7 linked regions of the Cricetulus griseus genome follow. The protein of the gene in region 1 purifies or fractionates together with the protein of each later gene. This does not show direct contact. Links are inferred from orthologs where the notes say so. Each region holds a gene or a part of one and is shown on either strand. Other genes may lie near its edges.

Region 1 (3,953 bases):
TCTTCTCTTTGCTTTAGTGGCTGTCTGATTCAAGCTTTGCATCCTTTGCTGCTTTGCTTCTGCTAAGCCTCTGCCTCCTTACCTGTAAAGTCTGTAAAGTGGGGATGATTATAGCATTTGTTTATTTATTTATTTATTTATTTATTTATTTATTGGTTTTTCAAGACAGGGTTTCTCTGTGGCTTTGGAGGCTGTCCTGGAACTAGCTCTTGTAGACCAGGCTGGACTCGAACTCAACAGAGATCTGCCTGCCTCTGCCTCCCTAGTGCTGGGATAAAAGGTGTGCGCCACCACTGCCCGGCGATCATTTAATGGGACAGTGCCTGTAAAACTAGACATGGCCAGAGCCTTTTCCTGGCGGCACCCTTTATTGTTGTTGACTGCTCCTCCTTACTCCATACTTGTGCTACCACCCTGGCCTTGTCCTCCCTCTCGCCCAGTATCAGGTAGCTGCCTTCTTCTTGTGGCTTTCTTAGTGTCCCCTTTGCAGTAGCTCTCGTCTGAGTGGAGAAAAGCCTGGGCAACCTGGCCTGAGTAGGGTGGCTGTACTGTCTTCCAGGATCGACTGCGGGCTTCCTATACGCAACTAGGGAACCGGGACACACTCTGGGAACTCTTCAATAAGCTCCAGAGACGGGTTGGCTGGGTAGAGTTCTTCATCCGGGCACTGAGGATCTGTGAGCTGCCTGGACTGGCTGACCAAGTGACTCGAGTGTATCAGAGCTACCTGCCTCCTGGTGAGCATCCTGCCCTAGCCTCCTTCCTGGGACCCTGCCTGTTTCTCGGGCTTGCAATCTTCCTCTTCCTTCACCTTGCACCTCCTGCCTTTCTATTTTCATCACTCTCCATCATAGGATCTACCCAGGCTTAATCCAGTTGAGCCACTCACTAGCTGTGTCCCTTCGGCAATATTCTTTAATTTTGTAGTCTGTCACAGTGGGGCTAATGGCCACATCCCTCATGTGTGGCTGCAGTGGATAGACACCACAGGGTGATGCCTGTTGAGTGCTTAGCTAGAGTTCCTCGTCTCCCCTATGCCCAGCACAAGGCACCTGCCGTCAATTTTGTAGCTCATGTGTTTGCCTCCCTACTTGGTCCTCATTTTCTCTCCGATCTCTTTTCTCTACAATGTAGAGTGTAGAATCTATACCCAATCACTTACCCCACTCTTCATTTCTCTTTCCCTCCCCAAGGTTTCTCTAAGAACATCCTGGTTTCTAAGCCCAACACCCAGCTGCCCAGTTGCTCCTTAATTCCTCTTAATGTTTCTGCCAAGTCATGTGATGGTGGGGGGTGGGGGGTGGGGAGTGAGGGTGGGGTGTTGGTAATTGGGCCTGAAGAGAAGATCCAGGAAGAAAAATCAAGCCAGTCTTGAACACACCATGTTTGCTTTTCTCTTTCTTTTCCTCCCTTCTTTCCAAGTTGGTCTCTTCATTTGTGGAAGTCAGCAGTGCTCTCTCAAGTAGAAGTGACTACTATGGTAGGGTCAGAGATGGGCTGTGGCAAGGGTTAGTTGGAGATGACAGCCGTGAGGAGAAAGCCTTGGGACAGAGAGGAGTGACCACTGACAGTGTAACTGGGCTCCTGCCCCTCCATCTCCCTTGACACCTTTTCTGTCTTCTCCAGCGCCTGTCCCTCCTGCCCCCTCCCCACGAATTCATCCCACGTCAGGTCATTTAAGTTATTTAAGGGAGACATCTCAAAAGCTTCCAGGCCTCTTCTGTTACCAGGATAATTCTGATTATTCTTGGCATCGCTACATCTTTGTCCTTTAGGGACTCCACTCCGCTCCCTAGCTCCCCTGGAGTCACCAGCAGTTCCTGCTACAACCTCTGGACCTTCTGCTGCTCCAAGTCACAGCATCCCTGACAATGGCTACCAAGAGGGACTAGGCTACCCCAGGCCTGTCCAGGACACCCAGCCACCAAATTCCCCAGGAGAGGTAGGTTCCCAGTCTACTTCAAGGCCCCTTGCTTTTGTGTGCTTGCCTGCTTCTGCCCACCCAGCCTTCCAGAAGCCCCTTCCTACCTCCTGAAAACCGTGCCTTATCTCTGCTAAGAATACTAGGTTTCCTTCATGAGCTACCTGACTGATGGCCAGGCCTGTAGCCACCCCAGCAGTCTGTCATCAGCTAACTAAGAGGCCCTGGTCTTGAGGTCTTTACAGTGGTCATGTGACATGTTGGGCTGGGTAAAAGACTAGGGGATAACCAGATCTGAATGTGAGGGAGGTGATATGAAGGTTCAGGAAGTCATGGGTGGATGATAACAGGGTTCTTTATTGTTAACAGTGAAGTCAGGTATGGAGGAAAGATAACTAGTTCTACTGAGATGAAGTGAGTCAGCCATGGGCTGTAGAAGAGACGCCAAACTGGGTCTGAAGCCATAGGATCTGCACAGAAACTGCTGAAGAAAGGGCTATATGCAGTGGTTACAGAGCCAGACACAGACACATGGATAGGGAACTTGGGCAGTACATGGTTTTTTGTTTTTTGGTTTTTTTTTTAAGGCACTTGAGGTCATCCTAGGAGGCTGGGATGTAGTTCTCAGTTGGTGGAGTTCTTGTCTAACATGCACACAACCCTGAATTCAGTTTCCAGTACCATATAAGCTGGGCAGATAACTCATACCTATAAGTGTGATACCCAGGAAGTAGAGGGAGGTAGATCAGAAGTCACATAGTAAGTTCAAGGCTAGGGTGAGATACATAAGACCCTATCTCAAAACAAAGCAAAAATAGTAACATCAACAACAAAACCAAATAGATACCAGGGACTTATATTAGACAAGTATACTATTGACGAGCTACCCCCTGGTATGTGAAGATAACCTATGGCCAGAAACAAGGCAAGGGTTCCCGAGATGCTGGGAACAGGAGCTGGAGCTTATAGATGCCCCATAAATGTCTGTTGCTCTTTGTCAGCTCTTGGGAGAAGCAGCTGCTTTATTACCATTTCTTCTATTGCAGAGTTTAGAGCAACCCCCACAGGCCAGCCTCGGGGCCATCCCGAGGATGCCGTCATCTAACCTGCAGGCTGTCAGCCCTCAGCACTCCAGAGAGCATCATGGTCAAGAGCCAGAAGTGGGTGGAACCTACACAGCAAGTATGCACAGAATGTGGTATTACAGGGTCTCTCAGACCTCCCAAGTGAAGGTTGGGGTTACAGTTACCACCTGGCCTTTCTGGGACAGGATGCAGGATAGGAATAAAGGGTATTCACTTCAGAGAGTGTGCAGTGTGTGTGTGTGTGTGTGTGTGTGTGCACGTGTGCGTGCGTGTGTGTATGTGCGTGCGCGCGTGCGTGCGTGCATGCGTGCATGTGTGAGTGTGTGCACGCAGCAGCTTATATTCATTAGCACGTGGCTCAGTTGGGTAGGTCTTCTGGTCTTGTTGATGAACTCTTACGTACTCCCTGACATATACATTTGTTCTGTTAGTATTCATTGGCTGGCGCCTCTTCGTTCTCTCATCCTCTAGCACACAAACCCAATTCATAGCATCTGGGCAAGGCTCTGGGTAAAAGAAAGGCAGGGCTGTGAGGCATAGACTCGAAACTGGCCTTATTACTCCTGCCTTGTTCTGTGGTCAAAACAAGTTATAAGGCCAACCCAGATTCCGAGAACGGAGAAACTGGCAGAATCACACCGGAGGGTGTGATGGCCGTGTAGGTGTGCATTGCTGTACATTGCTGCATGTGAGACAGAGTTAGCACTATTTCTGCACTCAGGTAAAAGGACCTGGTATGGATTGACCAGGACCTGAATGAGGGATAGCATAGGACTAGCTGATGAGGGAAGCTCTTTTTCTTTTTTTTTTCCAAGACAGGGTTTCTCTGTATTGCTTTGGAGGTTGTCCTGGAACTCGATCTTGTAGACCAGGCTGGCCTCAAACTCACAGAGATCCCCCTGCATCTGCCTCCCGAGTGCTGGGATTAAAGGCATGCACTACCAACA
Region 2 (4,512 bases), on another chromosome or scaffold:
GGTGTTTGCCTCCAGGGAACTTCATGCAATAGAGAGAAAAGAGGCAGAGGCAGGACCTCAGATCCTTTCACTGAAAGCAACTGTAACATTTGTCAAATTACAGATTTGGAAAACATATAGACTGAATAGCACTTCCTGGTTGCACCTCAGTTTTTTTTTTTCCATCCAGGAGGAAGAAGTTCAAGTAGATGGTGCTTTAGAACTTGCATGCTCCAAGTCTGGCCCACATTTAATGGCTGAACATAGATTTCTGAAAAGCCTTGCAAATGAGAAATTTGACAGAAGTACATGATGTACAGCAGGTACTGACTGCTGTGATGATCAGGACACACAGGTGGGAACATATGCCGTGAGTTCAAATTAGAACCTGTGTGGCCCCTTAGCAGTCAGTTGGGAAAGTTCAGGTAAAGAGAGAGAAGTGCCTTGCAAAATGCTACATTTGATTTTTTTACACTCAGGGCCTGAGGGGAGACTCACCGATGCACCCATGATGATAAATATATGTGTATCAGCTTGGTGGAAGGCATCACCCTGGTACAACTCTTCCCTCAGGATGCCACACACCTGGGTCCGGCTCAGGGCCACCTGCTCTGCCATGGTGTTTTCTGGTGGAAGAAAGACTCATTGATAAGGCAGGAGAACAGAAGAGCATTGACAACTTAACCTTATCAGAATCAGAAACTGCTGCTTCTGGGCTCCAGCCATATCCTATGTTGTCTTCTCTGGGGGCTGTACATTACGAAATCTCTATAAGCATTAATGGAATTCAGCTAGGGAATCCACTCTGGGAAAGCGACGCGGTCAGAGCATCGCACTGTGTCTGGGGCCATCGCACTCCAGTCTCTGCCAGAAACGCCACAATGAACTGAGCATCTTTTCATTGTGCAGATGATGGAGTTCAGCCCCAGCTCTCTGCTGGCCAAGCTAAATGATCCCAGAAAGACCCTTCTCTTCTAAAAGTCTAGTCCTCATGGGCCTAATGCGGGGAAGTGCGGGGTACAATGGGATGGGTTAAGACCTCGTAGATCTTTTTCCATATCCAAGCATAACAAATAGCGCTCATCAAAGGGACACGCGGCTCATAAGCGGGAAGCACATCCCTCCACCGGTGTGCTATCAGACCACCCCCTTTACCTGTGTTTAGTTGCTGCTGCCAAACAGGTTTACAGTTCTGGAGTGCACAGCTCGTTTCCGGGGGCTGCGCTTAGCTGGCTCGTTTAACGCAGGAGGGCGGGTGCTTTGACTGAGCTGACCCGCCTCAGGAGAGGCAGGAGAGGAGGAGCTTCGGACTACTCCATCGGTGAGGGAGGGGAGAGTAGCAGAAGTAGGTGCGCACGCATCCCTTGTCAGCCCCACCCTGTTGGCCGTCCCTGCTTTCCTGCTCCGCGATCGTGATGCTTTGCTGGCACAGATACAGCTCCGCACAGTTCTCCTGCGTCCCCATCGCTACCCCAGCCATACTTTATGGTCTGTTTTCCGATGGACCCTCGAGTCCCTGCGCACTCCTGGATGACCCCACTTCCGTTAGCAGCATAGCCACGCCTCCCCTTGCAATCGGTTTGGCGTCCTTTAGCAGCTTCTTCTAGGCTTTTTCCATGGTAGGGACCTGGTGGCAGAGAGCCCAGTGACAGAACCAGACTAAAACTGGGGTGTTTCATTGCGAATGCGACGCCTTGAAAATGGGGTGGGGACAACTGTGGGCGAGGTGACACACGCCTTTAATTCCAAGCACCCGGGAAGCAGAGGCAGGTAGATCTGGATAGCTAGGAGAGAGACCCTGTATCAAAAAAAAAAAAGTGTGTAAGTGTGTGTGTGTGTGAGTGTGTGTGTGATCTTTATCAGTGAAGAGCGTTGCGCTCTTCGGTTAGCCAATGCAGGCTGGCGGTCTGAGGCTTCTCTTCAGAGTGGGATGCAGCACTATTGTGGCTTCGCAGCTCCAGTTAATCTCCTCGACTTCGAGTCTGTGTTTTACTTCCGGATCCCACACTTACGACACCGGAAGCCGGAAGCAGGGGTTTCCACAGCCGAGAAGGGAAGGGTGACCGCCCAACCAGGACTTTCTGAGAGCTCCGATTCAATCTGAGAGGTCGGGTTCCGCTGCTCAGGCCCTCTTCACTTCTGGCCGACTCTGCTGACAGGTGTAGTCCTCTTCTCCAAAGATAGGGCTCCATCGGTGGCCATTATGCAGCTTCCGAGGCTCCTGAGCCCCCTTCCCCCCACCTTGGGCCCAGTTTGTTCTGTTGCATGCTTTCGAATGCTTTTTAGAGCATTTATTCAAGAAGTGCAGATTCGCGACCCAGCTTACTTGGACTGATTTCTGTCCTTCCCTCTGCTTATCTGTCGCCTAAGGGCTTGGCCCCAAGTGCTAGAACTCTTAGTTCACAGACATTTTTCTGTTGATGAAACTTTGTTTTCTGAAACAGCATCTCGAAATGTAGGCCAGGCAGACCACGAGCACAAGATTCTCCTGCCTCAGCTTTTTCAAGTGTACCGACTTTGCCTTTGTTTTTGAAGGGTTCACGATAAAAGGGAGAAACAGTCAAAGTTATCTTTGATGTAACTGGTCCCAGTGGGGTCAATTGATTGTAAAAGGCAAGGGAAGAAAGCATGGTGATCTGTAAAGAGATTATTGCAGTAATCCATGTGAAGGATGATAGTGCTGTCAGCCTTTTATTACTGAAAACTTTAAAAATGTACAAAAGTAGAAATATTAACATAGTAAGTTCCATGTACACATTTCTTAGTTGTCTCTATCAACTCATAGCTAACTTTAATTCACAGCCCTTACAGTACTCTACCATGATTTTTTTTCCTCTTTAGAAAAGATGTTATTTTATGTGTGTGGGTGTTTTGGCTGTGAGTATGTATGTGTACTACATGCTTGCCTGTTGCTAAAGGAATTCAGGAGAAGGTGTGAGGTCCCCTTGGATTGGAGTTGCAGATGTTTGTGAGCCACCATGTGGGTGCTGGGAACTGTCTCTGCAACAACAGCAAGTGCTCTTAACCACTGAGTAATCATCTTTTTTGCTCCACCCATTATAATTTTCAAAAACAGCTTTCTTGAGACATAATTTGCATGCTGCACCATTCACATTTAAAAACTAAAAATATTTACTATTTGTGTGTGTGTATGCATGATGTGTGTGGAGTGTCATGGCCAGAATGTGTTCTCAGGTTTCCAGGCTTGCATACCAATAGTTATCCACTGAGATGTGTCACTTGCCCATAATTCAAAATTTTTGGAGAGAGTCTCATGAAGATCCCTTCTTTTTGAGTTTCTCATCCTCCTGCTTTTACTTCCTAAGTACTAGGATTTACAGAAGTACACCACCACATCTGGCTACAATTCACGTATTTAAGGTGTATAATTCAGTGGTTTTTAGTGGGTTCATAGGAGTGTGAAAACATCACTAATTGCGGAACATTGTCATCATCCCTAAAAGAAATCCTAAATAAGAAACTCCAATCCACCTCATTTCTCTAAGTAACCACTAAACTACTTTCTGTCAGGATTTACATGTTTTGGATATTTCTTATGCTTGTAAGTATATACAGTATATAGCTTTTAGTGACATTTCTTTCTCTTAGCAATTATTTGGAGCATGTGTTCTTGTTTTTGTAACAGATTTTGCTTATTCATCAGTTGGTGGACATTTGGATTGTTTCCACTCTGGCTGCTTTGAATAATGCTGCTGTGATCATTTATATATGGACATGTGTTTTCATTTCTATTGGGTTTATCCATAGGTATCTCTTTTGTTATGCAGTGAATTTCAGACATGTGAGTGTTTCATTATGTATCTCTTTCAGAAAGTACTCTCAATAAACATAACTACAACACCATGATCACACTTAAAATACCTAATGTTATAGTGTGTCTTCATGAATTAAAAAGATGGGCAGGGGGGAAGATAAAGGAACAGAAAAACTAATCGAACAAGCAAGCAAAAACTCAGAAATGCTCAAATTTTTTGTCCTGATAGTTGGGGGATGGATTTGTTTTCAACTGATAGTAAGGGAAGTTGTGGATAGAAGTGGATTTGGGAGACTCACTTTTTTGGGTACTGCTGGGGATCCAGAGTCTGGTGAATGTTTGGCAAGTACTCCATTGCTGAGATATACTTCTAGTTCTGGGAAATTAATTTTGACAAGACCTCTTTTTATTTTAAAAATATTTAATTTTAGTTTTTATTTGTGTGTGTGTGTGTGTGTGTGTGTGTGTGTGTGTGTGTGTGTGTGTCTGTCTGTCTGTCTGTCTGTCTGTCTGTCTGTGCTCACACCTCTGTGTGTGTGTGTGTGTGTCTGTGTCAGAGACCAGAAGAGTACATTGGATCCCCTGGAACTAGAGTTATAGATAGTTGTGAGCTGCTCAACATGGGTGCTAGGAACCAAATGCTCTGGAGGAGCATTGAGTACTCCTAACAGTTGAACCATCTTTCCAGCCCCTTGAGTAGACTTCTTCTTCTTTTTTTTGAGTAGACTTCTAAGTATCCAAGTAGTTTTATATTTGAG
Region 3 (3,953 bases), on another chromosome or scaffold:
TCATATTACTAAATAGAAGATTATGTTATAACTGCTATTGAGGAATAGCACATGCTACTGTAAGTGCAAATAGGAGGGGGCTATGATGTCAGTGTTGGGGTGTGCATTAGTGATGGGATGTAGATGGGATCTACAGATGCTGCCTCGTTTTTCTCTTTGTAGATGAGCGTATCTCCTTCCTGACCCACTGGAGTTGGCCATTTAAAGGGGTGCATCCCCTTGGGACCCCTAGGTGAGACCTGGGTGTGTCATGCCTCAGAACATAGAAAGACATAGATCAGGGTATGGGAATGGTTAGAATGTGCTGTCATGATCCCCTGGGCAAGATGGCAGCATGGTACAGAGGCAACTTCCTGGGATCCAGAGGAAGTCGGCTTAGATCATGTAGACACACATGTAGACGATGGGGGTGGGGCGGATTATGTAGACACACATGATGATGGGGGGTGGGTGGATCTAGCAGAAGCCAGTCTGAGTCTCAGGCGGGCAGCAATTAGGGCTGGAGGGGCCAGGCCTCGATCCTTGGGAAGGGTAGGAGTCGGGTGTCATCTTGGAAAGTACAGACTGGACTGGACTGAGCCCACGTCAGTGTTGAGTTCCATTCTAAGCCCCAAATCTTCCTATGTCTGTTCTCCCAGGGCCTTTATCCGTCACCATGGAAACTCAGCAGACAGTGTTCCCCCACCAGGGAGGCATGGACAGCTGTTCAGGAGTATCTCTGCTGCTGGTAAAGGAGGGTTTGGGAAGGAGAGGGGCCTGGAAGGAGAGGGAGGATGAGGAAAGCATAGGGAATCGACTGCTGCCATCCACTAGTGGTCCTTCCCTTCTTGTCTCTCTTCCTTGCATCATCTGTGCATCACTGGTGCTGTGCTCAAGGACCATACACAAAGCACTTACAGAGACAGTCTCTCCCTACCTTCAGCCAACCTCGGGTCCAGTAGCCAGATTATGACTAGTTAAGACTATACAAAGAGAAAGTCAGGAAGCCAGTTAGCCTAGGCTTGGTTCAGAGGCTCCCTGTGTTCTGTCACAGGGCTCCTAAACCTTACGAGTGATCTGTTGGTTAAGGGAATTCTATCTGTCCACACCACGATGGGCTCCTGTATCTTTGAGTTCTCTGTGTTACTCCCCATCTTGACCTACAGCCACCCTGGCTGGCGGGAAGAGCAAGCATCTCTTCCCTTGTTTTAACCCATGTCCTTTGCTTTCTCATCCAGAAGCCATCCAAAGGCATCGCCGGAACCTCACAGAGTGGTTTAGCCGGCTGCCTAGAGAGGAGCGTCAGTTTGGACCAACCTTTGCTCTAGACACAGTCCATGTTGACCCTGTGATCCGCGAGAGCACCCCAGATGAGCTGCTTCGCCCATCCACAGAGCTGGCCACGGGGCATCAACGAACCCACGCTGGGCTGCCCCCACTGGCTCTGTCTCAGCTCTTTGACCCAGATGCATGTGGGCGCCGCGTGCAGACAGTGGTGCTGTATGGGACCGTGGGTACTGGCAAGAGCACCTTGGTACGCAAGATGGTCCTGGACTGGTGTTACGGGAGGCTGCCGGCCTTTGAGCTGCTCATCCCCTTCTCCTGTGAGGATTTGTCATCCCTGGGCTCCACCCCAGCTTCCTTGTGCCAACTTGTGACCCAGCGTTACACACCCCTGAAGGAGGTGTTGCCCCTGATGACCGCTGCCGGATCCCGCCTGCTCTTTGTGCTCCATGGCTTGGAACGTCTCAACCTTGACTTCCGGCTGGCAGGGACAGGGCTTTGTAATGACCCAGCGGAACCCGGGGCACCAGCTGCCATCATGGTCAACCTGCTACGCAAATACATGCTTCCTGAGGTGGGTTGCTCTTTGCTACATACACCCTGCCGCCGCTGCCCCTTAACCTGCTCCACAGGGAACTCTATGTTCTTGGCCTACATGGTTGTTGTGTAGGCCAGTACCTAGGTTAGTTCAATCCCTGGCCCCTCCACTTCTTAATTGTGGGACCCTGAGCAAGTCATTTATCTTCTCAAACTTTTTTCTCCTTCTGCCCTTGTTCTGTATGGGTTAAGTGAGATACCATATATAAAGTGCTTAGCTCTATGCCTGGGGCCATAGGAAATAATCAGTAATTGATGCTGATGAATTTTTGGGGGAAGGTTCTCATTTTGTTAACTCAGGCTGGCCTGGAACTAACTATACCAAGCTGACCTTGAACTTACAGAGATCTACCTGTCTCTGCCTCCCAAGTGCTGGGATCAAAGGCGTGTGCCACAATGCCCAGCGCTGTTAGTTATAATGTTGATAACTATGGTGCCCTTCGTTCTTGGACCCTCCCCCCAATCTTTATGGGCTTGAGACAATCATGTTTCTCTTCTTTCTTTCTTTCTTTCTTTCTTTCTTTCTTTCTTTCTTTTTTTTAGGTTTTTCGAGACAGGGTTTCTCTGTGTAGCTTTGGAGCCTATCCTGGCACTCGCTCTGGAGACCAGGCTGGCCTCAAACTCACAGAGATCCGCCTGCCTCTGCCTCCCGAGTGCTGGGATTAAAGGCCTGCACCACCAAGGCCTGTGACAATCAGGTTTCTTGAGACACAGAAGTTTCTCTATTAACCTTTAACCATATCCTTCCCAGGCCAGCATTCTGGTAACTACCCGGCCCTCTGCCATTGGCCGTATCCCTAGCAAGTATGTGGGCCGCTATGGTGAGATCTGTGGCTTCTCTGATACCAACCTGCAGAAGCTCTACTTCCAGCTCCGCCTTAACCAGCCTGATTGTGGATACGGTGCAGGGGGCGCAGGTGTCTCAGCCACACCAGCTCAGCGGGACAACCTGATTCAGATGCTGTCCCGAAACCTGGAGGGGCACCACCAGATTGCCGCTGCCTGCTTCCTGCCCTCCTATTGCTGGCTTGTCTGTGCTACCTTGCACTTCCTGCATGCTCCTACACCTGCTGGCCAGACCCTCACAAGCATCTACACCAGCTTCCTTCGTCTGAACTTTAGCGGTGAAACACTGGACAGCACCCATCCCTCCAATTTATCCCTGATGGCCTATGCAGCCCGAACCATGGGCAAGTTGGCCTATGAGGGCGTGTCATCCCGCAAGACCTATTTCTCTGAAGAGGATGTCCGTGGCTGCCTGGAAGCTGGCATCAAGACAGAGGAAGAATTTCAACTGCTGCAGATCTTCCGACGGGATGCCCTGAGATTTTTCCTGGCCCCGTGTGTGGAACCAGGACACCTGGGTACTTTCGTATTCACGGTGCCCGCTATGCAGGAATACCTGGCTGCCCTCTACATTGTGCTGGGCTTACGAAAAACAGCCCTGCAGCGAGTGGGTAAAGAAGTGGTTGAGTTAGTGGGCCGCGTTGGGGAGGATGTCAGCCTGGTACTGGGCATCGTGGCCAAGCTGTTGCCTCTGCGGATTCTGCCTCTCCTATTCAACTTGCTTAAGGTAAAGATCCCTGACACCAACTCTCTCCTCTCTCTCCTCTCTCCTCCCTCCCTCCCTCTCTCTCTCTCTCTCTCTCTCTCTCTCTCTCTCTCTCTCTCCTTGTTCCTTCCTCCCAGGATTCCAGAATGCCTCATGATCTGTATGCATTTCTTGTCTTCTCTCAGTGGGGAGAGGCTGCCTCTTGCATACATGGAAATCTTCTGGAAATTTGGCTTTTAGTGGAATTGAGGTCTAAGGAATGGGGAGAAAGAATCCACAGGGAGGCTTGGGGTTTAAAAGGGGAATTGAGGTTACAGGGATTTTTGAAACAATCCCACATGGATTCCTAACAAGGATTTCTTTCTTTCTTTCTTTCTTTCTTTCTTTCTTTCTTTCCTTCTTTACTACTGCCGAGAGACAGACTGGGTCATTGCAGTCTAGTTTGCAGGCCCAGAAACTTTTTTTTTCCTTTTCTTTTTGTGTTGCTGGAGATTGAACCCAAGACTTTGTACCTGCTAGGCACTGAGCTACATCCCCAGTA
Region 4 (3,953 bases), on another chromosome or scaffold:
TCATAACGGATGGTTGTCAGCCACCATGTAGTTGCTGGGAATTGAACTCAGGACCCCTGGAAGAGCAGTCGGTGCTCTTAACCTCTGAGCCATCTCTCCAGCCCAAGTAGCCTCTTCTTATCTCTATGGTGTCACTGCGGCTGTGGCTGAAAGGTGCTTGGCTGAAATCATCCCGTAGGCCACTGCTGCTTCCAGACAGGCACAGCCATCCCAAGTTTTACCAGGGTCTCAACTGGAGAAATGTTCTGAAACAGGCCCCGTGTAACAGGTGGTGCAGGGCCAAGCAGGCGCTCCTGAATCCTGAAAGGTGACTTCACCATCCACCCTGGCTGTGTGGGATAGCAAAGTCACCAAATCTGTCATGTGTTTGAGGAAACACTTGACACTCCAAGCCTAGTCAATAAATGTGCTCTCTGCCCAACTGGCTTTAATGCACACTGTTGCAGTGGTTCTCCCTCTTTTTTTTTTTTTTTTAATCTTTCCTGTCTTTAGTTTGTGCGTGTATGTGTGTTTATGCTTGTGTGTGTGTGAGTGTGGACACGTGGTGCATGTGTGAAAGTCAGAATTCAATCTTGGTTGTCAGTCATTACCTTCCACCTTGTTTGAGACAGGGTGTTTTGTTTGCCATGGCATAAGCCAGACTCACTGGTCTGAAAGTTTCCGGGTTCTCCTATGTCCGTAAGCCATCTTACCATGAGAGTTCTGGGAGACATGCATGCTACCCCATCTAGCATTATCTGGGGTCTGAAGATCTGAACTCGTGTTCTCATGCTTGCATAGCAAGTGCCCTTTGCCCAGTGAGCCATCTCCTGAGCCTTGTGTTTCTCACTATTTTCCTCTATTGACCTCTCCCACTGAGCCATAGGCAATGTTTTCCTAATTGTCCCCTCCAGTGAAAATTTGATTCTACGCGTGTACAGTATATCGGTTTATTTATAAAAAGAATAAGCAGTAACCAGGGCATGGTGGTTGCATGCCTTTAATTCCAACACCTGTGAGTTTGAAGCCATCGTGGTCTACATAGGGAATTCCAGGACAGCCTGGGCTATGCAGAGAGACCCTGTCTCAAAAAAAGGAAAAAAAAAAAACAAAAAAACAAAAAAACTCGCTCTCTAGACCAGACTGGTCTTGAACTCACAGAGACCCACCTGCCTCTGCCTCCCAAGATTAAAGGCATGTGCCACCACCGCCTGGCAAAAGAACACCTTTTACACCCCACACCTCAAGCCTTAGATTTTTATCCCTGTTCCCCTCCTCCATCGGGGATAGTGTCACTGTCACTGGGAATGTGGACATTGGGCTGGAGAAGAATAGTAGGAATCTCCTTGCTCCTCACATTTGGAAAATAATGACAGTTGAGCCCGTGGGATGAAAGCAAGTGAGGTTCCCATGGGACACACTGATTGTTAGAATTCTTTATAACCCTTTTAAACCAGCAAGCTGTAACTATTTCCCCGAGGTCTACTGAAAAGGCATCTAGATGCCCGCTGCTAGTGTTGTCAGGGGTGTAAGAGGTGCACTTTACTGCTTGTTGCTTGTATATAATGTGTGAGTTGTCTTTAGCAAACCACTGTTGGGCATTGGTCTCTCTGTGGACTAGAACACCTAGTGACAGGGTGTGCTTGGAAGAGCCCTGGGGAAGGCAGGATGTGTTTTTTGTTGTTGTTGTTGTTTTGTTTTTGTTTTGTTTTGTTTTGTTTTTCAAGACAGGGTTTCTCTGTGTAGCTTTGGAGGCTGTCCTGGCACTTGCTCTGGAGATCAGGCTGGCTTCGAACTCACAGAGATCTGCCTACCTCTGCCTCCCAAGTACTGGGATTAAAGGAGTACTGGGATTAAAGGCGTGTGCCACCAACGCCCGGCCAGGATGTTTTCTAAGCACTATTGTGACATTTTAACCAAGACTATTTTTTTCTGACCTCCTCTTTTTTGCTTGTTTTTTTTTTTTCCTTTTGCAGAGTTCTAATCTGTAGCAAAATGCACAGACCCTAAATGTATAGTTAAATATGTCTTTGACAAATGGGTTCCATCTTATCATTACCCAAACCAACGTAAACACTTCTTAGAAATTCCTTCCTATTTCCTAATAGTCTATAACCCCATGACCCCATGACCCCATGACCCTGGTCAGGGTTCCTGTCCTTGCAGATGTGTGTTTGTCCGCCACCCCCTATATTTTAAGTTAGGCAGGCTAGCCTTCCTTAGTTTGTATGTGTCAAATGCATATTGATGAATGTTACTATGGTCTTTTGTGTATGCTTTAAAATTCCTTAATCCTAAAATCTCTCTTTTTTTAGAGGAAAAGAAGACCAAGAAACCAAGTAAGTTGTACATTTGTGTATCTCTTGGTTCTCAAGACTTGTGTGAGTCTAGAGCTAACGTTGAGAGCAACAGCTGTACTGCTTTAACAAGGGTTCTGCCATGGCCCTGTTCTTACAAATGTACGCTGTGAAGGCAGGCAGGCTTGAGCAGGGAAGGGAGGCCCACCGTGCATGAGTAAGAGCCTTATCTGGACTCACTTGTGTGGCCCTGGCTGGTCAGATGTGTTTGTGAAAGTTGACAGCCATCTTAGAAGGGGGGAGAGGTCATCCAGTCCTCTGTGTCATATTGCTGTTTCACCTTTGTCTTCTCTTGGCTCTCAGCTGGTGCTACCGGCTCCTTTCCCAGCTCTTCCTCATTCAACAAGCTTCCCACCTTTGGAGCTCCTGGACAGTCAATGGATTTTAAAACAACTGACCCTGATGGTGAGTTGTTGTGACCAAGTGCCAGAGAAATATCTGCCATTTGTCCCAAGCTTGTCTTGAATACCTCTCTCTGTTTCCTCTTCTAGCCGCACCCAAAGCCAACACCTTGCAGCCAAACTCTACTGCACTCAAAGCTAAGATGCTAGAAAACTTCTTAGCCAAGTCTAGGGCCGAGCTTCTGGAGTGTGAGTAGCTTGACTATGTGGATGGAAGAGTGGGTGGGCAGATACAGATAAATGGGTAGATGGATGGGTGGGCAGGTAGTTGGATGAATAGACAGATGAATGGGTGGTCAGTGTACCAGTGAGTGGGGAGTTGGATGGGTTAATAGATGATGCGTGTATCTGAGTGGGTGTTTGGAGAGATGAATGGCTAGTTGGATGGGTGGGTGGGTGGGTGGGTGGGTAGATGGATAGGTGTATGTGGATAGGTAAATGGATGAATGGGTAGGTGTGTATATGGTCGGGTAGATGGATAGATGAGTGGGTGGGTGAGTGAATGGATGGATGAATGGATGAAGTGTGAGTGGGTAGGTGGGTATGTGGATATGTGGATGGATAGGTGAATAGCTGGGTGGATAAAATAAATGTATAGATGGGGAAGGCTTTAAAAGTGAAAGTACCTTGGGTCTCTTGTCATTGATTCCCGGGGGGTGTTTTCTCAGATTACGTTAAAGTCGTCTTCGACTACAATACTGCCCACAACAAAGTGGTTCTGTCAGACAACTATACCACCGCCTCCGTGGCTGAGGGACTTCAGCACTACCGTACCCATCCCCAGAGATTCACCTACTGCTCTCAGGTTCTGGGGCTACAATGCTATAAGAAAGGCATTCACTACTGGGAGGTTGAGCTGAAGAAGAACAATTTCTGCGGTGTAGGCATTTGCTACGGCAGCATGGATAGGCAGGGCCCGGAGAGCCGTCTGGGCCGTAATGCCAACTCGTGGTGTGTGGAATGGTTCAACAACAAGATCTCTGCCTGGCACAACAATGTGGAGAAAACCCTGCCCTCCACCAAAGCCACTCGAGTTGGTGTGCTTCTCAACTGTGACCATGGCTTTGTCATCTTCTTTGCTGTCACTGAAAAGGTCTATTTGATGTATAAGTTCAAGGTGGACTTTACTGAAGCCCTGTACCCAGCCTTCTGGGTGTTCTCCGCTGGTACCACGCTTTCCATCTGCTCCTCCTCTAAGTAGGCAGGCCACTAGGCC
Region 5 (3,953 bases), about 65 Mb from region 1:
CACACAGAGATATAGACATACAAACACACACATGCACATACACACATAGACATACACATACACCCACAGACATACACATAGACACACACAAGCCATAACATGAAAACAGATTGAAGATACTTTCTCTTGACTTTGGTCACAGAAGCTCAAGCAAAACATTTATTAGTTTCTCAACTATTTACTATTTCCTTTATAATAAAATTTTTGTTTAGGAGTTTCATTTGTGGTGGGAACTGCAGAGGAAATGAGGAGTGAGAGTTAAAGGACAGTTTGTAAGAACTGGTTTTCCCCTCCCACCATGTGATGTCTGGGAGTGAAATCAGCCATGAAACTTAGCAGCAAGTGCCTCTAACCACTGAGCAACCAATTCAGCCTAATGAAAACAATTCTCTGGATTAAAAAATACTGCATATTTAGAAGAGGATTTGATTCAATGACTTTTTTTCCCTGATAGATTCTGGAATAATTGCATGGAACACTGCTGTTTTCTTTAGTGTTTGGATATAAGCATTTGTTTATATGTACGCTTAACCCCTTGACTTTCCTTTTTGAGGATTTTCACTTTTCATGTGTTCAGACAGTGTTTCCTCTTCCTTCCTTTATGTTGAAATGATAGATTTCTGGTGCAGGAAATGCTGGGAATGAGTCAGGTGTAAGAGAGCTGTTGAGAAGGATCGTGCACAAAGAAAACTGGTTTTCTACCTTCCTGGATGTTCTTCGCCAAACTGGAAATGATGCACTCTGCCAAGAGCTAACAGGTGCTGGCTGCCCTGAAGACATTGCAGGTATTCCTAATTCTAGCAGTGATACAGTGCGATTGAGAAGTCAATGAAGCCTCCAACTGTAATGTCAAACACCAGGACTTCTAGAGTCAACATTTTTAAGTGGGAAGAATTGATTTCATCTCCTTTACAAATGAGAAGGCCAATGTGTGGGAAAGACTCTGTTATGAGTCCCCTAGCACACTGGAATGACCACCAGTTCAGCAACAGTCCATCATTCAAATCTTATTTTTGAAATGAGATAATCACCTCAAATTTTTATTAAGATATTTTTACATTAGAAAGACACAGATAAATTGGAAGAAACTATATTTTTGATTCTTAATATTATAAAAGGCTTATTCTTATGAACACACATAATTTTCACCTAATATGAATTTTTAAATATTCAATAATAATATTCTAAAATAATATATTTTACATACTTCCTTTGTAAACTTAATTTAAACTGCCCCATTGAGTTTTTCCTTTCAAAAATACGTATCCTGTTTTCAAAATATCTTATGCAGAAAAAACAAGTCCATTATTAATAAATAATTATCAACATTATAATTATTTCATGTTTTCCCTTCTGTTATTCAGCAATCATTCAGTGAACTTGTAGCAGGAACTGTTCTAGATGATGAGGATATGGAGTTGCAGGAGACCTGGGAAAGTCCTCCTTTTCTGTTCATTCTAGTAAAATGATTCACTCAGTAAATGATTTTCTGAATGGGCTCTGCAAATAGAACCAATAATAGGTGGAATTGAAGGACTGTGATTAGTTCAATTATGTTGCTAGATTTTAAGAGAAACATTTGCTGTGTTTTACTGTGTGGCTTATGAAAATCTTTTACTTTTGCCAAGTAGTTTGAAGTTCTGAAGCATGTAAATATATTTCACTCTATTTATCAGAAGAGATTAAAATAGCTTTCAAAATCGGACAGAAACTCCAAGATTTCTCAACGCGGAAGTTCTAATGTTTCTACTAAAATTACAGGTGTGGGTGTACCTGTATCTACATCTGTAACTGTCTATTGTGATTAATCTACATCATCTCCATCACCTATGATTACATCCAAGGAGACAGAAACAGATACAGTAGAAAAGCTCAATAGAGAAAATCAGACCATTTTTACTGTGAACTATAAGAAAATACGAAAAGGATTATAAAATGATAAGAATGAGCTACATGGAAACCAGTAGGAAGAGGCTAGCATCATCCAGATGGCTGGGCAAGATAATTTTCTATCCTCCCCGCCCCCAGATAAACACCACACAATGTCACATGTTTGTAGTAAACATAGGTGAGGCTCTAATGTCCTGAAGCTGTTTGTTTTCGTTGGAATTTTCTAAGAATTTGAGGGAGCTAGTGAAAGGTGAGTCCAGCTAGGTTCAAAAATCAGATAGGGCTGCGTGCGGCTGTCTCAAGCCTAGCTCAGGAACCCCAGCCTGTGAACCCATTTTGTTGGCCAAGTGTAGTTCTCACCACACACCAAAAAAAAAAAAACTTCTCTTTGCATCAGAGAGGGTTACAAGTAGCAACTGGTCATCAAACATCAGCTGACTGTGGAGAGCCCAGCCCCAATGCATACATCTGAAACACAACTCTTGCCCCTAAGACTCAGGGAACATCACTGAAGAGGGAACATAAGGATTGTAAGAGCTAGAAGACCAAGAAGTCTGATGTGACACTGTGTCTCTTAGAAATGACAGGGAAGCTACACCCATGATACCATATTGTTGATATGACCTGGGCAATGACAATATCAATACTAAAAGTAAAGCAGAAGTGGGAGGTCTCATGGGGTCTCTTCCCTAGACCACGAAAAAAAAATTATGAGCAACTAATGTCTTCAAAGAAGAGGGAGAATTTGTTTCTCCCAGCAATGTACCCCTAATTTATTATCTAATACAAAGTAGTCAGCTCTGAAATCACACACACTCAATCAAAACTAAAGGGACTCAGCAAGTTGTATTTCATATTTATGCACATGTGTGTGTTTGTGTGTGTGTTTTAGTGTAACAATAAAAATCAAGGAAAAGGAGGCCATCAATCTGAGAAGAAGGGGAGAAGACATGGGAGGGGTTGGAAGCAGGAGACATAGGAAGGGACAGAGGGAGGAAAGAGGAGAAGTAATCTAATTCTATTTCAATTAAAATTTTTAAAAATTGAAAAAAGTCATGAGTTTCATGATCTCTCTTTCTCTCTCTCTGGTGTGTGTGTGTGTGTGTGTGTGTGTAACAACTATATACATAATATTTATATTAGGTATTTAAGTAAACTGTTTTATTGCTAGTTTTAGGGTTTATTTAAGAGACGTCACCTCTACGTTCCTTCCCATTTCTCCCTTTTGGAAAAGAATATTGCTCTGTGTTGGTTTCAGGCCTATATTCTGGGGTCCAAATTGTCTGCCTTCTCAGTCGCCAAATGGAGGGGAATTTACCTCAGGATCAGTCACACAGTCTCATACATGATATAGGTAATATTCAGCTTTGGACTTTAGACTTCACATGAGACTGGAGTAAGTTAAGACATCAAGGGCTTTGGAGATGGAATGGATGCATTTTGCATGCAATGAAGATATTAACGAAGGAAGCAGTGTAAAAAGTTATGTAGAAAATTTTATTCCCCTCCAGCTTCATGTATCAGGGCCCTAACTCCTATAATGAGTGTATCTGAAGGGCCTGTCTTCAGGAAGCTGTTGATTTTCAATGAAGTCCTACCCGCAGGCCATAATATGCTACGATTGTGGGCTTTGTAGGTGAGGAAGTAAAACAACCATCTTTCTTCTTATCGTTGAGAAGGTAGAGTATGCTATGAAGTTGGGTCAGCAGACAGCAGCCCTGCTGGCACCATGATAGTTGATTAGCATGTATATAACTGTAAAAATTAAATTTCTTCTCTTTAAACCACCCAGGCTATGGTACGTTTCCATGGCAGAGGGCCCCAGACTTGAAATCCATATGCTTCTATGCTCTTGGCTCTTTCCCTGGACCTGATACCTTTGGTCAGTTACCAGACATCCTTGGATTTCACCTTGTCTGTGAAAGGGATAAAAATATCACTTACCAGCTAGGTTATTTTGAGAAGTAAATTATTCAATATATAAAAATGGCTTTGTGGTACGTATAAAGCAGATAGACTATTTTCATATTTTATTATTTAATTAATTTTATATGTATGAGTGG
Region 6 (3,953 bases), on another chromosome or scaffold:
TGACAGCACTCTGTGCATTTTGTTGTTGTTATTATTGGATCCTCACAATTTTCAATGTTCCTCCTATAAGAGCATAGGTCCACTAATAGCTTATTGTTGGAGAATAGGTATGTGTGGGCTTTTCCTGAATTCTACCTTCCTGTCTCTGTTGCAGATTACTGTAAGATGTACAGAAAACACGTGAGAAGCAGGTTCTACTGTATCAAAGATAGGAATGCACGTCTGGGTGAGAGTGTGGACCTCAACAAACGCTACACTCAGCTACAACTGGTCAAGGAGCATCCGAGCAAGCAGGAGAGAGAGAATGAATTACTGAGCATTGGCAGGACCAAAATGTGGGATAGCCGCATGAGTTCCATTAAGCTGGGGTCACTGTTTGATCCAGAGGATGAAAACACAGAGCCTGTACACACAGTGGTGTTCCAGGGAGCAGCAGGCATTGGGAAAACAATACTAGCCAGGAAGATTATGTTGGACTGGGCATCTGGGAAGCTCTTCAAAGACAAATTTGATTATGTATTCTTTATCCACTGTCGAGAGGTGAGCCTCAGAACATCAAGGAGTCTGGGAGACCTGATTGTCAGCTGCTGGCCTGACTCAAACCCACCAGTGTGCAAGATCCTGCACAAGCCCTCCAGGATCCTCTTCCTCATGGATGGTTTTGATGAGCTGCAAGGAGCCTTTGATGAGCACATTGGAGAGGTCTGCACAGACTGGCAGAAGGCTGTGAGGGGAGACATTCTGCTGAGCAGCCTCATCCGAAAGAAGCTGCTGCCCAAGGCCTCTCTGCTCATTACAACGAGGCCGGTAGCCTTGGAGAAGCTGCAGCATCTGCTGGACCACCCTCGCCATGTAGAGATCCTAGGTTTCTCTGAGGCCAAAAGGAAGGAGTATTTCTTTAAGTATTTCTCAGATGAGCTGCAGGCCAGGGAAGCCTTCAGGTTGATCCAAGAGAATGAGATTCTTTTTACCATGTGCTTCATCCCCCTGGTCTGCTGGATTGTGTGCACAGGACTGAAGCAGCAGATGGAGACTGGAAAGAGCCTGGCCCAGACCTCCAAGACCACTACCGCTGTCTATGTCTTTTTCCTTTCCAGCCTGCTGCAATCCCGAGGGGACATGGAGGAGCACCTCTTCTCTTCCCACCTACAGGGGCTCTGCTCACTGGCTGCAGATGGCATTTGGAACCAGAAAATCCTATTTGAGGAGTGTGATCTGAGGAAACATGGCCTGCAGATGGCAGACGTCTCTGCATTCCTGAGGATGAACGTGTTCCAAAAGGAAGTGGACTGTGAGAGATTCTACAGCTTCAGCCACATGACCTTCCAGGAGTTCTTTGCTGCTATGTACTACTTGCTGGAAGAGGAAGAAGAGGGGACAGCTATGAGGAAGGGACCAGCAGGTTGTTCAGATCTTCTGAACCGAGATGTGAAGGTCCTCCTAGAAAATTATGGCAAGTTTGAAAAAGGCTATCTGATTTTTGTTGTCCGTTTCCTCTTTGGCCTTGTAAACCAGGAGAGAACCTCCTATTTGGAGAAGAAATTAAGTTGCAAGATCTCTCAGCAAGTCAGACAGGAACTGCTAAAATGGATTGAAGTGAAAGCCAAGGCCAAGAAGCTGCAGAGACAGCCCAGTCAGCTGGAACTCTTCTACTGCTTGTATGAGATGCAGGAGGAAGACTTTGTGCAGAGAGCCATGGACCACTTCCCCAAAATTGAGATCAACCTCTCTACCAGAATGGACCATGTGGTTTCTTCGTTTTGTATCAAGAACTGTCATCGGGTGAAAACACTTTCCCTGGGGTTTCTCCACAACTCACCCAAGGAAGAAGACGAAGACAAGGGGGGAACTCGACAGGTGGACCAGGTCCCGTGTGCTTTCCAAGAGCCCTATTCTGCCTGTTCTTCCAGGTAAGGGCATTTGGCTCCAAGAAGATGGTAGCCAGCACCTTATGCTTTCTGGCTACATTTCTTGGTCCTTAATTCCTCTCCTCTCTGATGTTCCAAATATAATTGCCCAGCTTCATGATAATGTGACTGCCACCTTTTCATTGGTAGAGAGTGACTCCTGCTAGGTGGATAATTGGGGTTGAGGACAAAATCCAGTAAACTAAGAAATAAGCATTTTGGGAGAATATCAGTGCAGCACAAAGTATCAGGTGGACTGCGGCAGTGCATGGAGATGTAGCCTATAGCTCTAGCTCACTGTCTTACTTCAATCCTCTTTATTTCAATGCTGCTGTAATGGATGCTTGAAACTAGGTTATTTTTGAAGATAAAAGGTTTGTTTGTTACAGTTGTGGAGGATGGGAAGACTGAATATTGGGCACCCCACATATTTTTTCTTTTTACTTGGTGGGAGGAGGGGAAGCAACTCCTTGTTTGTCTCTTTCACAAGGTACTGTTATTATCTATGAGGTTTTGCCGTATGACCAACCATCTTCCAAAAACCTCACCTCCTGATCCCAACATTCTGAGACTAGGGTACCAATCTGAATTTTTGAAGAGTAGGTGAAAATTTAGATGATGCCAGTGGGAGATGGAAAGAGAGACGAGATAGAAGAAGACAGATTGGCTCCTTAGGGCCCTAAAGGAGTAGAGAGAGGCTAAGAGGCCAGATTAGGACCACACACTCTTGAGAAAGGCAGAGACTCAGGCTAAAACCCTTGATGAGAAGTTGGGATCTCTTACTTTAGGTAACAGCCATTTTCCTTGCTGAGCAGAGGCTTTCTTGGTTTATCACAGAACCTTCCAAGAGGACTAGCTATGTGGGTATCCTCATCAGAGGTTCAGAGTCACAAAGCTAGTCCTGCATGTATACAAAGAAACTCTCATAAGGGATATTCTAATGTGAATCCTAGAAATGACTGTGAAAATGAAAACTACCAATGTAGATGGGTTTAGCTTTTAAGATTCTGACTTTGCTTCTGTGGTTGCAGCATGGCTCGGGACTTTACAATTGGACATCCTGGACCAGTCTGCTGCATGTCCAGGCCAGGGGCACACCAGCTGTCTAATGTGGGAAGGAGGTGTCTGAGGGTGTTTGTAGTAAGCCTAAAGTTTACTTCGTTGCATTTCAAAAGGAACCTCTCTCTACCCAAGGCTCACCAGCCTGCTTCCCTCTGAATGAACATTTATGACTGGTGGCTTGACATCTAGGAGACTTTTCTATGAATAGGTGCCGGGAGCCTGCTCTGAGCTCCACTTTGTTAACATTAGAAAACCATGTTCTTTTCTGTCCTTCTTCTGTGCCATTCTAGATTGGCAAACTGCTATCTCACGTCTAGCTTCTGCCGAGACCTCTTCTCCAGTCTAAGCACCAACCAGAACCTCACTGAACTGGACCTTAGCGACAATACTCTGGGGGATCCTGGTATGAGGGTGCTGTGTGAGGCCCTCCGGCATCCAGGCTGTAACATTCAGAGACTGTGGTGAGTCTCCACATTTGTGTATGGTGTGTGTTTCTTCCTCGAGTCTTTGCATTACATTCCAGCTGTGTGTCCATGTTCTAAACTCTTACAACCTTTCCTTGTGTCTGATACTGTCTAAATAGACTAGGGCCAACACTGTGGATTCAGTTTAATTACCTATTTGAAGTTGCCTATTTCCAAATATGGTCACACACTGTGGGCTGCTGGGGTTGAACTCTGATACACAAAGCTTTGGAGGAACATAGCTGATTCTGTTATAAATGGGCAGGCTGAATGACTGAGGTAAGTAGGGAAAGCTTTAGATGGGGAAGGTGAAGAGGAACTGAGAAGAACTATTTCCTCGTGGCAAAATAAAGGCTTTGTATTTTATTCCTTCATGGATGAGGATTCTGGGTGAAAACTGGGAAATTTCATCACAGATTCTAATGGCTGGCAAGATCAGAACACACCAAAATGTTGTGGGGATGTGTATCTCATATACCCCATTCTATGCTCTACTTTATTTAAATAATTAACTGTAAAT
Region 7 (4,474 bases), on another chromosome or scaffold:
ACCTGGTGTGTTCAGAGTTTCCACAGAAGTCAGACGGGCAAGTAGGCAAAGGGAGTGCCTGGAGAACGGCGGCCAGAGTTGACTTTTTTAGGAAAGTCACTCACCTGCACTGTGTGGCCATTCCTTTTAAGTGTTGTAAATTTTTTTTTTTTTTTTTTTAAATGAAGGCCAACAAACACCCCTGCTGGGCAGATTTGGCCCTGCTACTTTGCTAGCACTCTCCAACCAGCCATCCCTCCCTCTGACTAAAAAAACTAGTTTTCTCTATTTGGAGCAACTTAGGACAAGCCAGGTAACCTTGCATTCATGCTCCTAAATTTGCTCCGCGAACCTGGCCGGGCCGGTGCAGAGATCTTGCTCTGCTCCTCTCCTCCCCGAATTCAAACGCAGCGAGAGGGGGGAGAGAGCTGATGCTTTTCTTTTTTTCTTTTCTTTTTTGGGTTTTTCGAGACAGGGTTTCTCTGTGGCTTTGGAGACTGTCCTGGAACTATCTCTTGTAGACTAGGCTGATCTCAAACTCACAGAGATCTGCCTGCCTCTGCCTCCCGAGTTCTAGGATCACCTTGTGTAGGAATCACCTGACAGTCTTGTTTGACCTGCAGGTCAGACCTGGGCGGTTTCTTTCCTTCGAGGGTAGGGGGGAAGGAATGTTGCCTGGTAGCTGAGGCTGGCCTTAGGCTAACTTGCAATCTTGAACCCACGCTCCTTCTTAAGGAGTTCCTGGGTGTTGCAGATACTGCTGACCCCTGGGTTTTACTGGAGAAGTCTAGAGCTCCTTTCAATTCGGGCTCCGGGAGTGGTTGCCACAGAGCTTCCTTTTGCCTGCCAGACATGCTGGGTTTGTTCAGGTTTGGGTTTATATAGACTAGCCAGGGAGACGGCAGTCGAGGGCGAAGGCGGTGCACTGCCAAGCTACCTCTAGGCCTGGAGTTTCAGATCTAGAAGGCCAGGAGGAGTGGAGGAAGGTGTTAGTTAGGTCCTAACTGGAGAAGCCTCTGGAGGAGGGGCATGAACCACAGGAGCATTCTCTGGCCGAGGAGCAGAAAGCCGGACCGAATTCTGTCCCCTGGGTATTTCCGCGTATTCCATCCGCTCCTAGTTTCCCAGGGTATCCCACGTGCATTTAATCCTTAAGTCCCAGCCCATCAAGTTTCTCCTCACAAGATCGGGGGTTTAAAAGCGGCTGCGCCGTAGAGCACTCCCATGGTGCCGCGCGCTGGGCGGGTTTGTATTTTAAATCCCCGCGGCCAATCAACAACGCGCAGGTCCTTGTAACGTTCCCAGCGCTGCGTTTGAATTCGGGGAGGAGCGGAGCAGGGCAAGATCTCTGCACCGGCCCGGCCAGGTTCGCGTAGCAAATTTAGGAGCATGAATGCAGCGGCCAAAAAGCTGGCTCGAGCACCAGCCGATCTCGGGAAAGCTGGGGTTCCTGGAGATGCAGCTACCGGTGCCCCAGTGACCGCCCCGCTGTCGAAAGAGATTCCTGAGGTCTTAGTGGACCCACGCAGCCGGCGCCAGTATGTGCGGGGCCGCTTTCTGGGTAAAGGAGGATTTGCCAAATGCTTCGAGATCTCGGATGCAGACACAAAGGAGGTGTTCGCAGGCAAGATCGTGCCGAAGTCTTTACTTCTCAAGCCCCACCAAAAGGAAAAGATGTCTATGGAGATTTCTATCCACCGCAGCCTCGCACACCAACACGTCGTAGGCTTCCACGGCTTTTTTGAGGACAGCGACTTTGTGTTTGTGGTTTTGGAGCTCTGTCGCAGGAGGGTGAGTGTTTCTGCTGTGGTGTTGGGGCGACCACACCGGGAACTTGCTGGCAAAGAGGCATCGACGCCTTGGAGTGGCCTAGAGGAGTGCTTGGGTTTCAAGCAATTATGAAGGGGCTCCTGGTGAGGGTGTTTGGCATTCCGAGCTGCTGAGGCCGGGGGTTGAGGGCAAGCGGAACCCGGGACCTGTTGCTATTATTAGGGAAGGTGGCTCCTGCACGCAAGACTGCCAGTAGGTGCAGGAAATGGGTGTTTAAAGTGATTAACAAGGGTCCCAAGCTACGGCTGCCGCGGACCTAGAACTTCCGGAGTGGAGTGGGGCAGGGTCTGGAGTGGGGGAGGGAGGAGAGGCTGTCTGGAGTCAGACCTCAGCTTTCAGGAAAAGGAGAGGGTCTCCTGCTGGGAGGAAGCCCCTAAATAAGGGGTTGAGAGAAGACGCTGGGTAAGGGTACTCGTTAACAGGAGAGGGGTCCTGTGAATGATAATGGCCTGACCAGTGTATGGACAGAACCATTAGGAGCCTGCCAAGACATAAGAATTATGGGTTAATAAGTGGAAGAGTTAGCTAAGCCTGTACTATAGGCCGAGCATTTATAATTAATATAAGCCTCAGAGTAGTTATTTGGAATCGGCTGGTCGGGATAGGAAACTTCCGTCTATACTTTACTCCCGAGGGTTTAATCTTGGCCACATCCAGCTGGCCACCCTTTTCCTTGGGCTTAACTACCTTCTTCCCTCTTCCTCAGTCTCTCCTGGAACTGCACAAGAGGAGGAAAGCGCTGACCGAGCCCGAGGCACGCTACTATCTACGTCAGATAGTCCTGGGCTGCCAGTATCTGCACCGAAATCAGGTCATTCACAGGGACCTCAAGCTAGGCAACCTCTTCCTGAACGAGGATCTGGAGGTGAAAATAGGTGAGGTGCTGGGCCTGCGGGTGTCTGGTGCCAGTACAAGAGGTGGCAAGGAGGGGAACTCTGGGAGAATGGGAGCCAGAGAAGTGGAAGGTGGGTGGGAAATGGAGGTGCTGCCCTCCAGAAAGCCTTCTTGTCCAGAAATGGAAAGTAAGTGTCCCACAGGCCAGTGTTTTGCTGTCCCTTTACTGAGCTGAAAAGCACCTTTTCCCTTGAGACTCTGATTTGCCTCAGTCCCTATACTCCTGTCACTTTTCTTAAACTTGTCACAGTCACAAAGAATATTTACTTGATTCCCTAGTGCATCCAATTCTGCTATCCTATGTATTTTAAATTTCATATATGTGGGGTTCGAGATAGAAGGTAACTTTCTGGAGTCAGTTCTGTTCTTCCATTGTGGGTTCCAGGGTCAACTCAAGTTGTTAGTCTTAGCGGCAAGCACCTGTACCTACTGAGCCATCTTACTTCCCTAGCCCTGCTATCTAAAGAGGAGTGTAAAGGGCAGTGGGAAGGTTCGGGAACAGAGACTGGAGTCTTGAGGCACTGGCTCTCTATGGTCAGTCCTGAGGCAGTTGTCTGCAGCCACAAGATGGCCTAGCAGCTAATCACCTCTCTTCTTCCCTCTGTCCCAGGGGACTTTGGGCTGGCAACCAAAGTGGAATATGAAGGTGAACGAAAGAAGACCTTATGTGGCACTCCTAACTACATAGCTCCCGAGGTGCTGAGCAAGAAGGGACACAGTTTTGAGGTGGATGTGTGGTCCATTGGGTGTATCATGTAAGTTGGGAATGGACTCAGGAGCTATTGGGTCTCAACAGGATTTTCTGAGGCATTTCATCCAGTTGACCTTTCCCTCTGGATCCCACATGAAGCCCCTTTTCCTTATTTATCAATCTATAGCATTCCTGTAGCTTGGACTTATGGTCCAGGGAAGGGACCAAATGTGTCTACACTTCTTCCTCCAGCTCCTTGCTGCTTACTAAAAGCATGCACTAACCCAAACCATCAATACCTCTGAGGGTTTGTTAGGATGTGGAAATCTCAGTTCTGGACCTGGGTCTAATAAAATCCCTGGCTGACTTTCAGTAAAGCTTTGGAAACACTGATGAGTGCTGATGGGAGAATCAGATCAGCAGAAAGGTTCATGGTAGGCAGAAGCTCCATCATGGTGCTTGTGCCTGTGGCAGATAGCAGTGGCCTCTGCGGTTCTTGAGGAGTCCTCTATTACTGCAGGCCAGAGCTGGGGAATCTCTAGCGCTTGGTATTCAGTGTTGTCACCTGCATTCTTCTGAGGGCTTATCCCAGCCATTGGCTTCTATGAGACTGAGCAGACTTGGAGATCAGCCTCATCCGTTCTGAGTCAGTGAATCCAGCCCAGCTCCCTTCCTCTAGACAATGACTTCTGCATTTGGACTTTTCTGGGAATTTGAGCAAAATCCTTCCTTGTGCCTCCAGGTACACCTTGCTAGTGGGCAAGCCACCTTTTGAGACCTCATGCCTAAAAGAGACCTACCTCCGGATCAAGAAAAATGAATACAGCATTCCCAAGGTAATGGCACCATAATGCTTTAATTTATTTTATGTTCCACCCAAAATCTGATCACTGAGCCCAACTATATCCTGGGGACAAAGATGAGTCAGCCCTGCCTCTAGTATAGCCACAGGGAATGTATGTCTGAAGGCTGACCTTGAATTTACTGCATGCTGAGTTTGAATATCAGATTCTCCTGCCTTTACCACCCAAGTGTTGAGATTATAGGCATTCATTCAACCAGGCGGTGGTGGTGCCTGCC

What was found.
Region 2: the proteins of Mavs (region 1) and Ikbkg purify together in Homo sapiens (affinity purification with western blotting; 4 studies listed by BioGRID and IntAct, with this or other methods). This does not show direct contact. The link is inferred for Cricetulus griseus from reciprocal best matches to the Homo sapiens genes MAVS and IKBKG.
Region 3: the proteins of Mavs (region 1) and Nlrx1 purify together in Homo sapiens (affinity purification with western blotting; 4 studies listed by BioGRID and IntAct, with this or other methods). This does not show direct contact. The link is inferred for Cricetulus griseus from reciprocal best matches to the Homo sapiens genes MAVS and NLRX1.
Region 4: the proteins of Mavs (region 1) and Trim25 purify together in Homo sapiens (affinity purification with western blotting; 3 studies listed by BioGRID and IntAct, with this or other methods). This does not show direct contact. The link is inferred for Cricetulus griseus from reciprocal best matches to the Homo sapiens genes MAVS and TRIM25.
Region 5: the proteins of Mavs (region 1) and Ifih1 purify together in Homo sapiens (affinity purification with western blotting; 12 studies listed by BioGRID and IntAct, with this or other methods). This does not show direct contact. The link is inferred for Cricetulus griseus from reciprocal best matches to the Homo sapiens genes MAVS and IFIH1.
Region 6: the proteins of Mavs (region 1) and Nlrp3 purify together in Homo sapiens (affinity purification with western blotting; 4 studies listed by BioGRID and IntAct, with this or other methods). This does not show direct contact. The link is inferred for Cricetulus griseus from reciprocal best matches to the Homo sapiens genes MAVS and NLRP3.
Region 7: the proteins of Mavs (region 1) and Plk1 purify together in Homo sapiens (affinity purification with mass spectrometry; 3 studies listed by BioGRID and IntAct, counting the BioPlex papers as one, with this or other methods). This does not show direct contact. The link is inferred for Cricetulus griseus from reciprocal best matches to the Homo sapiens genes MAVS and PLK1.

What each region holds. Positions count from the first base shown.
Region 1 is NC_048599.1:47,330,597-47,334,549, reverse strand, and holds part of Mavs (mitochondrial antiviral-signaling protein), read left to right. Parts: intron 1-559; coding exon 560-737; intron 738-1,775; coding exon 1,776-1,942; intron 1,943-2,967; coding exon 2,968-3,103; intron 3,104-3,953.
Region 2 is NC_048604.1:1,290,249-1,294,760, reverse strand, and holds the start of Ikbkg (NF-kappa-B essential modulator), read left to right. Parts: upstream 1-1,366; 5' UTR 1,367-1,464; coding exon 1,465-1,467; intron 1,468-1,984; exon of another isoform or gene 1,985-2,138; intron 2,139-4,512. Other genes in the region: G6pd (glucose-6-phosphate 1-dehydrogenase), read right to left, coding at 478-597. UniProt on the Homo sapiens protein: Regulatory subunit of the IKK core complex which phosphorylates inhibitors of NF-kappa-B thus leading to the dissociation of the inhibitor/NF-kappa-B complex and ultimately the degradation of the inhibitor.
Region 3 is NC_048597.1:155,948,775-155,952,727, reverse strand, and holds part of Nlrx1 (NLR family member X1), read left to right. Parts: intron 1-162; coding exon 163-232; intron 233-638; coding exon 639-727; intron 728-1,217; coding exon 1,218-1,837; intron 1,838-2,611; coding exon 2,612-3,433; intron 3,434-3,953.
Region 4 is NC_048600.1:102,152,705-102,156,657, forward strand, and holds part of Trim25 (E3 ubiquitin/ISG15 ligase TRIM25), read left to right. Parts: intron 1-2,294; coding exon 2,295-2,318; intron 2,319-2,639; coding exon 2,640-2,741; intron 2,742-2,827; coding exon 2,828-2,926; intron 2,927-3,405; coding exon 3,406-3,938; 3' UTR 3,939-3,953.
Region 5 is NC_048599.1:112,265,886-112,269,838, forward strand, and holds part of Ifih1 (interferon-induced helicase C domain-containing protein 1), read left to right. Parts: intron 1-616; coding exon 617-785; intron 786-3,953.
Region 6 is NC_048600.1:73,610,934-73,614,886, forward strand, and holds part of Nlrp3 (NACHT, LRR and PYD domains-containing protein 3), read left to right. Parts: intron 1-154; coding exon 155-1,910; intron 1,911-3,259; coding exon 3,260-3,430; intron 3,431-3,953. UniProt on the Homo sapiens protein: Sensor component of the NLRP3 inflammasome, which mediates inflammasome activation in response to defects in membrane integrity, leading to secretion of inflammatory cytokines IL1B and IL18 and pyroptosis.
Region 7 is NC_048596.1:78,505,552-78,510,025, reverse strand, and holds the start of Plk1 (serine/threonine-protein kinase PLK1), read left to right. Parts: upstream 1-1,278; 5' UTR 1,279-1,368; coding exon 1,369-1,770; intron 1,771-2,515; coding exon 2,516-2,684; intron 2,685-3,313; coding exon 3,314-3,458; intron 3,459-4,136; coding exon 4,137-4,230; intron 4,231-4,474. UniProt on the Homo sapiens protein: Serine/threonine-protein kinase that performs several important functions throughout M phase of the cell cycle, including the regulation of centrosome maturation and spindle assembly, the removal of cohesins from chromosome arms, the inactivation of anaphase-promoting complex/cyclosome (APC/C) inhibitors, and the regulation of mitotic exit and cytokinesis.